Sus scrofa: one gene and its partner. The protein of the gene in region 1 purifies or fractionates together with the protein of each later gene. This does not show direct contact. Links are inferred from orthologs where the notes say so. Each region holds a gene or a part of one and is shown in the gene's direction. Other genes may lie near its edges.

Region 1 (3,810 bases):
GCTACAGATCTGACTCAACCCCTAGCCTGGGATTTTCCAAATGCCTCAGGTATGGCCGTAAACGTACAAAAAAAAAAAAAAAAAAAAAAAAAAAAAAAAAAAAAAAAGACTGCTGGATGCTCAGATCTGCTTCTTCATTCGTTGTGTTGCAATGTCACCTATTATGTAGGCTTTGGAAAACTCCACTCCAGAGAATGAGAGTGAAAAAGGCAAATCACATTTTAGGATTATAAAAAATGGCTTTTAAACCTTGCAGGGGTCCTAGGGCCACACTTTGAGACTATTTGTGTCCTAGGATCACACTTTGAGGATGTTGTAGGGCGTTTACGTTGTGGCTCAGTGGTAACAAACCCAACCAGTAACCTTGAGGATGTGGGTTCAATCCCTGGCCTTGCTCAGTGGGTTAAGGATCCAGCATTGGTGTGAGCTGTGATGCAGGTTGCAGACGTGGCTCAGCTCCTTCGTCATTGTGGCTGTTGTAGGCCTGCAACTATAGCTCCGATTTGACCCCTAGCCTAGGAACTTCCATATGCCACACATTTGGCCCTAAAAAAACAAACAAAAAAAGGGATATTGATTCAGGCACATAGTAGGTGCTCAATAAATGGCAGCCGTTATCACTTTAGGGAATTCAGGGAAAGAGGTTCAATCCTTAGGGTGAACCAAGAAGAGCAAAGCAGGACCCAGAACTAGGTAGGGTTGGGTGCTAGGCAAGTTACCAGAACAGGAAATCTGAAATGTTGACAAAGACCGAAACTGGTGCATAAACCCTAGCCTGCAAGCCCTGTTATCTGAACAAGCATCTGCTAAGGCGAAGGAACTGCAGCTCAGAGCAGGAGAGTCCTTCATCAGCCCTGGTCCCTATGACCCACTTCGGATAAACAGGAAACGTGCCTGGGGAGTTCCCATCGTGGTGCAGTGGAAATGAATCTGACTAGGAACCATGAGGTTGTGGGTTCAATCCCTGGTCTTGCTCAGTGGGTTAAGGATCGGGTGTTTCCCTGAGCTGTGGTGTAGGTCGCAGGCTCAGCTTGGATCTGGCATTGCTGTGGCTGTGGCGTAGGCTGGCAGCAACAGCTCTGATTCGACCCCTAGCCTGGGAACCTCCATGTGCCACAGGTGAGGCCCTAAAAAGCAAAGCAAAAAAAAAAAAAAGAAAGAAAAGACTGGATGTGAAACTCCATGGCAGGGAGGGGCCGAGGCTGCTCAGGCACCCCCTGCTTGGGTCAGGACCACCCAGGAACTCAGGAGAGGGAAGCTGAGCAAGGGAATGCGGTCTGGGACTCCCTCAGCCAGCACCCACCTTGGACTGAGCTGTTTCCTGGGTGCTGGTAGGCCCAGAGGAGGGAGGTTCAGGTGCTGCTTGGGCAGCCCACCATACAGCGGGTACAGACCCTGAGATGATCCTGGGTACCACGGTGCAGGGCCTGGTGCTGAGGGGACTGTTTCACTGAAGCAGACAGGCTGAGGAGATAGGCAGGGAGGGTTGGGGAAAGAGGAGATTACATGGAGGAAGCAACAGAAGGAGGAGAAGACCTACGGAGGTGGGTTCAGCCAGATATGTGTCACATTAAGGGGCTCCATTGTGTGTCTGGATGGACAGAATGCTGCATGGAGGACCTGGGGGTGAGGGAGAGGGTTCTGCAGTTAGTCTTGGACCAAGGTGGCTGGAAAAGGGAGAGCTGGAGACAAATCAGGGTTGGAGTAGAGAGCCAGGTCCCATCAAGCCAGTCATTACTTATTGAGCACCTACTAGTGTCAGGGGCCAGGGGTCCAAAGGTGAGTCTGGCGTTGTCTCTGCCTCTTAAGAACCAAGGAAAACAAATATCTCATGACACAACAGGAAGGGTATGTGTAAAGCACTGGAGAGCATAGAGGAGGTTAGAAACCAAATATTCAGAGCCAGCAGGAGAGATGGGCCCTTTCCAGGTATCTGAGGGGTTCAGTTATCCAGTCATTAGCATCAGCCAGCTCCCACTCTGCAGGACAAGGGTGAAGCTGCCTATCGTGGGGTCAGAAATTGACCTGAGGACTACAAGGTCTTAGATCTCTCTCCCTTTCCTGGGGTAGGGGAGGCTATTAGGTGAGAGGAAAGAAAGGGCCTAGCCCTTATCCCTGATTTGTTTCAGTCCTTAACCCAAAACCTTTCCCTCCTCCCAGTTTGGCAACAATCCCTTCTCTTCCCTGGCCGGGAACTCCGACAGCTCATCCTCCCAGCCTCTGCGGACTGAGAATCGAGAGCCCCTCCCTAACCCCTGGAGCCCCTCGCCCCCCACCTCCCAGGCCCCCGGGTCCGGTGGGGAGGGCACCGGAGGATCGGGGACCAGCCAGGTGCACCCGACAGTCTCGAACCCCTTTGGGATCAATGCGGCTAGCCTGGGGTCAGGTATGTCCTAGGTTGGAAGGAGCTTAGTGGGGTCACCAGGGCAGTCCCTCTGTCCCAGGACTGAATGGGGTTCATACTGCTCCAGAATATCGAAGACAGAGGTGAGACTGTATTGAAGCCACAGGGTGGGGTGGGGGGTGGTCTGCAGCCTGGAGTGGTGGCTCCACCCCTCAGAGGGTGAGGGTTGGTTCTGACCCCGTCCTTCTGTCCCTAGAAGTAACCTCAGTAATGGCTCATGAATAAAGTAGGCCCCACCTCATAAGCTGTTTCAACACCACTGGTACTCTCCATTGTAAGTGGGTCAGATTGGGAAGGGGGTGTGTGGGAGAGGAATCGGGACAGGTAGATGTGAGGCTGGGGGAGAGGGACATGCAGAGCTGCCTCGTACCGAAGTGCAGGTTGTGCACTGCTCAACCCTGGGAGATGCCCTGTTTAATCTGGACTATGACTATACATACCTATGGCCCTAAGGATGTGTGGTAGATGCCTTGATTTCTCTGTACCATGAGAGACGTCTTGATTGGGAAAGTTTCTTCCTCTCTGTGTGCTTATTTTCTAAATAAGGGATTTGAACCTAATGCATGGTTTTAAAATTGTACTTCTGAGTCCTGAGGGGCCTGAACTATCTCCAGGATGAGAGAAGACCAAATGGGAAAGGCTCCAGGCCTCTTGCCCCAGCTCCAACCAGACCACTGACATACTTGGTTTCCAAGAGAGACTTGGTTTGAGGACAGGGTCTCTGCTGCTAAGACAAATTTGAAAATCATCGGTCTAGGTGATCTTTCGTCAGATCCTTTCAATTCTGACATCATCTGAACCTGTGGCAGGAACAGTCCAGAGGGGCATGAATCAGACCCAGTTTGCAACTGGCCTGTCCTTAGGAAAGTAGGTGTGGAAGGAGCCAGGCCAAAGCAGGGTGAGGTGACATTGGAGTCAAGAGAGACTTGGACCCCTGCCCCTCTACTTGGGTGCCCGTTTCACCATTGCCTTTCTGTGTTTTGTAACCACTCAGTGTCTGAAGTGAGGTAGATGAAGTGAGGCATCTGGTTTCCACCTGGACCCCTTTTCTCTTGTTTTATTGGTTTCCTCCTTCTTGTCCTAGGGATGTTCAACAGCCCAGAAATGCAGGCCCTCCTCCAGCAGATCTCTGAGAACCCCCAGCTGATGCAGAACGTGATATCGGCCCCCTACATGCGCAGCATGATGCAGACACTTGCCCAGAACCCTGACTTTGCTGCTCAGGTATGGACCTGGCATGAGGGGAGCGTGTTGGGGCCGTTACTTGTCATGATCAAAACCCTCCAGAGCCAGATTGCCTGGGTTTGTATGTTGAGCTCTGCCAACTTCCTAGCTGTGTGAGCCAAGCAAGTCATATAACCTCCCAGCTTCTTCGTCCGTAAAATGGTAATAACAATAGCTCCTGC
Region 2 (4,492 bases), on another chromosome or scaffold:
GATTGCTAAGCTTGAAGACTTGAAAGTTAGAGTACAACTTCTATTTCTTTTTTCCTCTTCCTTAACATAAAGAAAAATGTACCCTTAGAAACAGAATAGCCAGCAAATGAAAGAGCAAAATTGTGTATTAAAACTACAACCTTTCAAAAAGTGCCTTATTAGTCATTTCAATGAAATGAAATTTAGGCAAAGGTATCTATCAGAAAATACTTCCTATCCTACTTGTTTTTTTTTTTTCCTCCTAGTATTTGTATTAGTAAGGAGTATCCCCGCTGGATGAGTTTGCTTTATTTCCAGAGAATAATGCCCAAGAGAGTTCCCTGCCCAACCCCAGGAGCATCACTGAAGCCAGTTTATGAGGAACTCTCCTACCACAGCCCTCTAGTGTAGCCTCTGAACAGACCTCAAAGGACCCGGCCACTCTGAGACTGAGGACACATGACTCAGGCTGTTATAAACCCTAGTGCAGACTGTTGAAGAGGGAGGGCCCTGGAAGTGGTGGAAAAGCACATAAAAACTATACCCAGATCTCTGTGGTCAGCAGCAGAAAACTCTCCAGTGGGTTTTAAGGAGAGAGATGGTCTCAAGGAAAGCTGAGAGTTTCGGGCCTTAACATTTGAATTTTCCATAAAAAATATCCTGACATTTCACTACAAAAGAGAGTTCATTTTTGGCATGAATGGGGCTAGGATATTATAAATTTTCAGTTCCCCAGAGATTTGGTAGAGGTCAGATAGGAAGATTTAACAGTCAAAAAGTATTATAATACAGTTATGAATATAAATATATATATTTTTTGCAAAACTGTGGGAAAGAATGAAATTTAAAGCAGTCAAGGAGTTGAGAGGTGGATTTGGGATGGGCATACCATCCTAAAATGTTCGTTTTTCAAATTTCTCAATCCCATCTCCATTTCCTTTGTTAATTGTCCCTTTAAACTAAGAGGGGAGGAATTAGCTCATCAAATAACTCACTCACACCCACCTTTACACACACCTTGGCCAATAGGAAGTTTGCCCTGGCTGTACACTTTTCCACCACTTTAATTTAGTGTAATATATACATATATTACAGGAAATAAAATCTTAGAAAAGGTAGTAATAATATAAAATACATTACTTTTTATTATCCCTGGACTTTGGGTGAAAAAAGCACTAACTAAAACCCGTAATTGTTACTGTAAGAAGTAACTACAAGTAATGGCATTCAGGTCTCTAATGCCATTTCATGTCTCTCGTCAGCAGTTTTAAAGTTGGACTTCATCTGGACCTAGCTACTCCTCTGCCTCTTCGCCCGCCCCACCCCTCTCGGCTGCCGGCCTCCTCGCCACTCTCCCGCCCGCCTTTCCTCTTCCCCACCCCTTTCTCCTAGCCCCTCCTCCTTGTTGAGTCAGTGGCTTGAAACTTTTAAAAGCTCAGTGCTCCAAGTAAGAAAAAAGCTTTTACGAGGTATCAGCACTTTTCTTTCATTAGGGGGAAGGAGTGAGGAAAGTACCAAACAGCAGCAGACTTTTAAACTTTAAATAGACAGGTCTGAGTGCCTGAACTTGCTTTTTCATTTTACTTCATCCTCTGAGGCGTGCCTACTTCACTTCTTTTAAGGGAAAGAGTAAGTTTTCAAAAAGGACTTTACCTATTTCTTTCTTTTTCTACAATTAAAACTTTGCTAAAGTTTTTTAAAGTGTTAAATGTAGCTTTGATATGATATAAAGGGAATGATGAACTTGAAATGTCTAGTTTTAAAGTTAAAATGGAACTTACGGTATTTATTTTTTGACTGTTAAAAAGTTATCTTTTAATAATGCAACAGGTAGATAAGATTCATACCTTTCTGGATATTTGGTTGGTTCCTCATTTTAGAGTAGAATTTCACTTTTTTTGGTAATTAGTAATAGTCTAGACGCTTTGTAACTTTTGGGGTGGGGTGTGGTTTGGGGGGCCTAGGTTGGGGGTTTGACTGGCTACAACGAAAAAAATCAAAGTGCAAAGATGCCTAGAGTGCTTGCTATAGAATTCTACGCTTTGTGCTTTTTCATATGGAAATCTTGATTGATGTTCTCTAGCCTTGAAAAGCAGACTTCTTAACAAAGTGCTTTGTTAAGACCTTGCGGTTACTTGACTTCCACGTGGTCTCTTCGTAGAATTTCCCCCGGTAAACAAAAAGGTGTAAAAATACGGGTTGTAATGCTGAGGTTCTTAAAGCAACAGTAAAGAGTTAACTTTGTGTTAGCCGCCACTAGGGAAAAATCTTGAGACCCTCAGGGAAGCCACCTTTGACTCGACCACGTTGGCAATTCAGGAGGTGAAATCTCTTGAATGCCTGCCTGCTCGTTACTTACAAAGCGTTAAGTTAGGGCGAGAACAGAAGTTTAGAAAAGAGTGCATGTCAGGGTGCATTTTCAAAACGGTCTCCTAAGACAGGGGCTCCTAGAGAGAATATGAAACGAAATTTCTTAAGACAGCGCCTTAGAGGGAGCTACCGCCCCCCCCCCAACCCCGACACACACACACGCGCGCGAGCGCGCACACACACACACACACAAACACACTGCCACCACCTTCTGCTTGTCCGAACCTGCCACACACTAAAGAGCTCTGGGGCAACTTTTTTGAGTTTGAGCCGCCAGGGTGCTGCCAGGAGGCAAAGATAAAGACGATTTGTCATTTTTAAAGGTTCAATTTCTTACATGCTCTTGTGAGTAACCCACATTCTTTTAGCCTGAAATGCAGCCATGCATTTTCGTGCCCGGTAAGGATTTTGTCTGTTCTAATTCCAGGGACTGAAGTAATTAGTTTAAATTCTTGCTGTGACCCTACAGTTTGAAGTATTTGCACCAGAGAGTGCTCAAAAGCACATAAAAATGAAAGCTTTGGGGAAGGAGGACGGGGGCCTGGGGCCGGGCGGGCGCGGGGTGCCTCCTGCCATTTTAGCATCCGCCTGGCTCGCCCCGGCTCCTGGGCTGCCCCGGCCTCCAGGTTTTGGAAAGGTTTGCGGATATTTCCCTCAAATGCTTAAAAGTTAAACCCAGTGCAGGTCTGAGTTCCGCCACTGGAAGGGAAGGGGTGGGAGCGGTGGAGGTGGGTTTGAAGGAGATGGACATCATGCCGAATGGTAAAAGAATAGCAAATGATTAATTGAATTAAATGTGTCAATCTAATTTCCCTTTTCTCTCACCGCCATCCGCAGTGCCCTTTTTTTCTTTTTCTTTTTTTCCAAACCTGTTGAATCCTAGTGTGTAAGCCATGACGAGGAAACCTGAGTACCTTGGAAATTAATGTGTCTAAATGACACTTGTAACTCTTCAGTAAGTTCTCGAAATTTCCTAAGAATCCGGGGGTGGGGAGCGGGTAGGGGAGCGCAGAGGAAGCCACGTAATGAAATGAGTAAAGACCTAATGACATGTCCAGGAGTAAATCAGTACAGAATTTGGAAATTCAACTTTTGAGTTCCTAGCAGCGGATCGACCACAGTATCCTACTGATTAGCCCTCCAGATGTTTACAGAGCATCTCCCATAAAGTTTATCAAAAGCCCTCCTTGAGCAACCTCATCCTTATCCTAAGGTTGCCTGTACTCCCAGAGTACAAAGAGGAGCACTATAAACTTGGAAAAATAGACATTGTTGCATTTGGAGGTGGGTTTAATTTCTTCTGCCTTCCAAACCAAGTTAGTAATAAGAAGATGCTTAATCTCACCCTCTGAAAATTAGGCACATTTGAATTTAGTCTAAAATGAAGAGGCAATTTGAAGAGTAGATTATGAAAATTTTTCCTAAAGCCTAACTTTTGAACAAGGATTCTTGAAAATAAAATCCTGTAGTAATAGAGATTTAATTAAATTAGCCCTGTCCCTAAAATAGAAATAAGCCACTTAGGTAGAAAATACTTCAGGGAAAGAGTAATTCTTCTAGGTAGGCCGAGTTGCCAGAACGATGGCAATGGTAGAAAAACATTTTGTCGTGGCAAGATGTTTGTGTTGTGCTTAGTAGTTCTCCAAGTCAGGGTGTGGTTGTCACCCGTCCTTTGCTTGGAAAATGCTTTGATAATGCTTTAATTCTACTCTCTTCACTGTTTAAACATGTTCCCATTTTTCTACTACCTTTTATAGTTGATCACCACAGCTGCCCCAAACACTCAATTCCTCACCCTTTACAGTACAATTCCTACATTGCTGGCCCTTCCCAGGAAACAAAGTTCCAAGCAAGCATCCGAAAGGGTGTGTTTTCAGATACTGAGAGTTGTTTTGTTACTGAGATGTTTTCAATTCCTGAGTAGAGAAGGATGGAAAACTCATGATATGGTGCATTCCTTCATTTCTCTGATGATATCCAGAGGTGTAGCTTGGTTTGAGCCTCAGAGCCTCTGTACATGATACCCGAGGGAAGGGAATGATAGGAAAGTCACCAGTGATTAATACCTTCTACTCCACCTTTCCTGTTCTGACTTCCCTTTGAGCTTCTCAGTTGTTGGAATAGATTGTGGAAGCGTATGCAC

Evidence for each region.
Region 2: the proteins of UBQLN4 (region 1) and GJA1 purify together in Homo sapiens (affinity purification with western blotting; 3 studies listed by BioGRID). This does not show direct contact. The link is inferred for Sus scrofa from reciprocal best matches to the Homo sapiens genes UBQLN4 and GJA1.

Annotation. Positions count from the first base shown.
Region 1 is NC_010446.5:93,986,279-93,990,088, forward strand, and holds part of UBQLN4 (ubiquilin-4), read left to right. Parts: intron 1-2,160; coding exon 2,161-2,386; intron 2,387-3,488; coding exon 3,489-3,628; intron 3,629-3,810. UniProt on the Homo sapiens protein: Regulator of protein degradation that mediates the proteasomal targeting of misfolded, mislocalized or accumulated proteins.
Region 2 is NC_010443.5:40,999,081-41,003,572, reverse strand, and holds the start of GJA1 (gap junction alpha-1 protein), read left to right. Parts: upstream 1-1,443; 5' UTR 1,444-1,608; intron 1,609-4,492. UniProt on the Homo sapiens protein: Gap junction protein that acts as a regulator of bladder capacity. A gap junction consists of a cluster of closely packed pairs of transmembrane channels, the connexons, through which materials of low MW diffuse from one cell to a neighboring cell.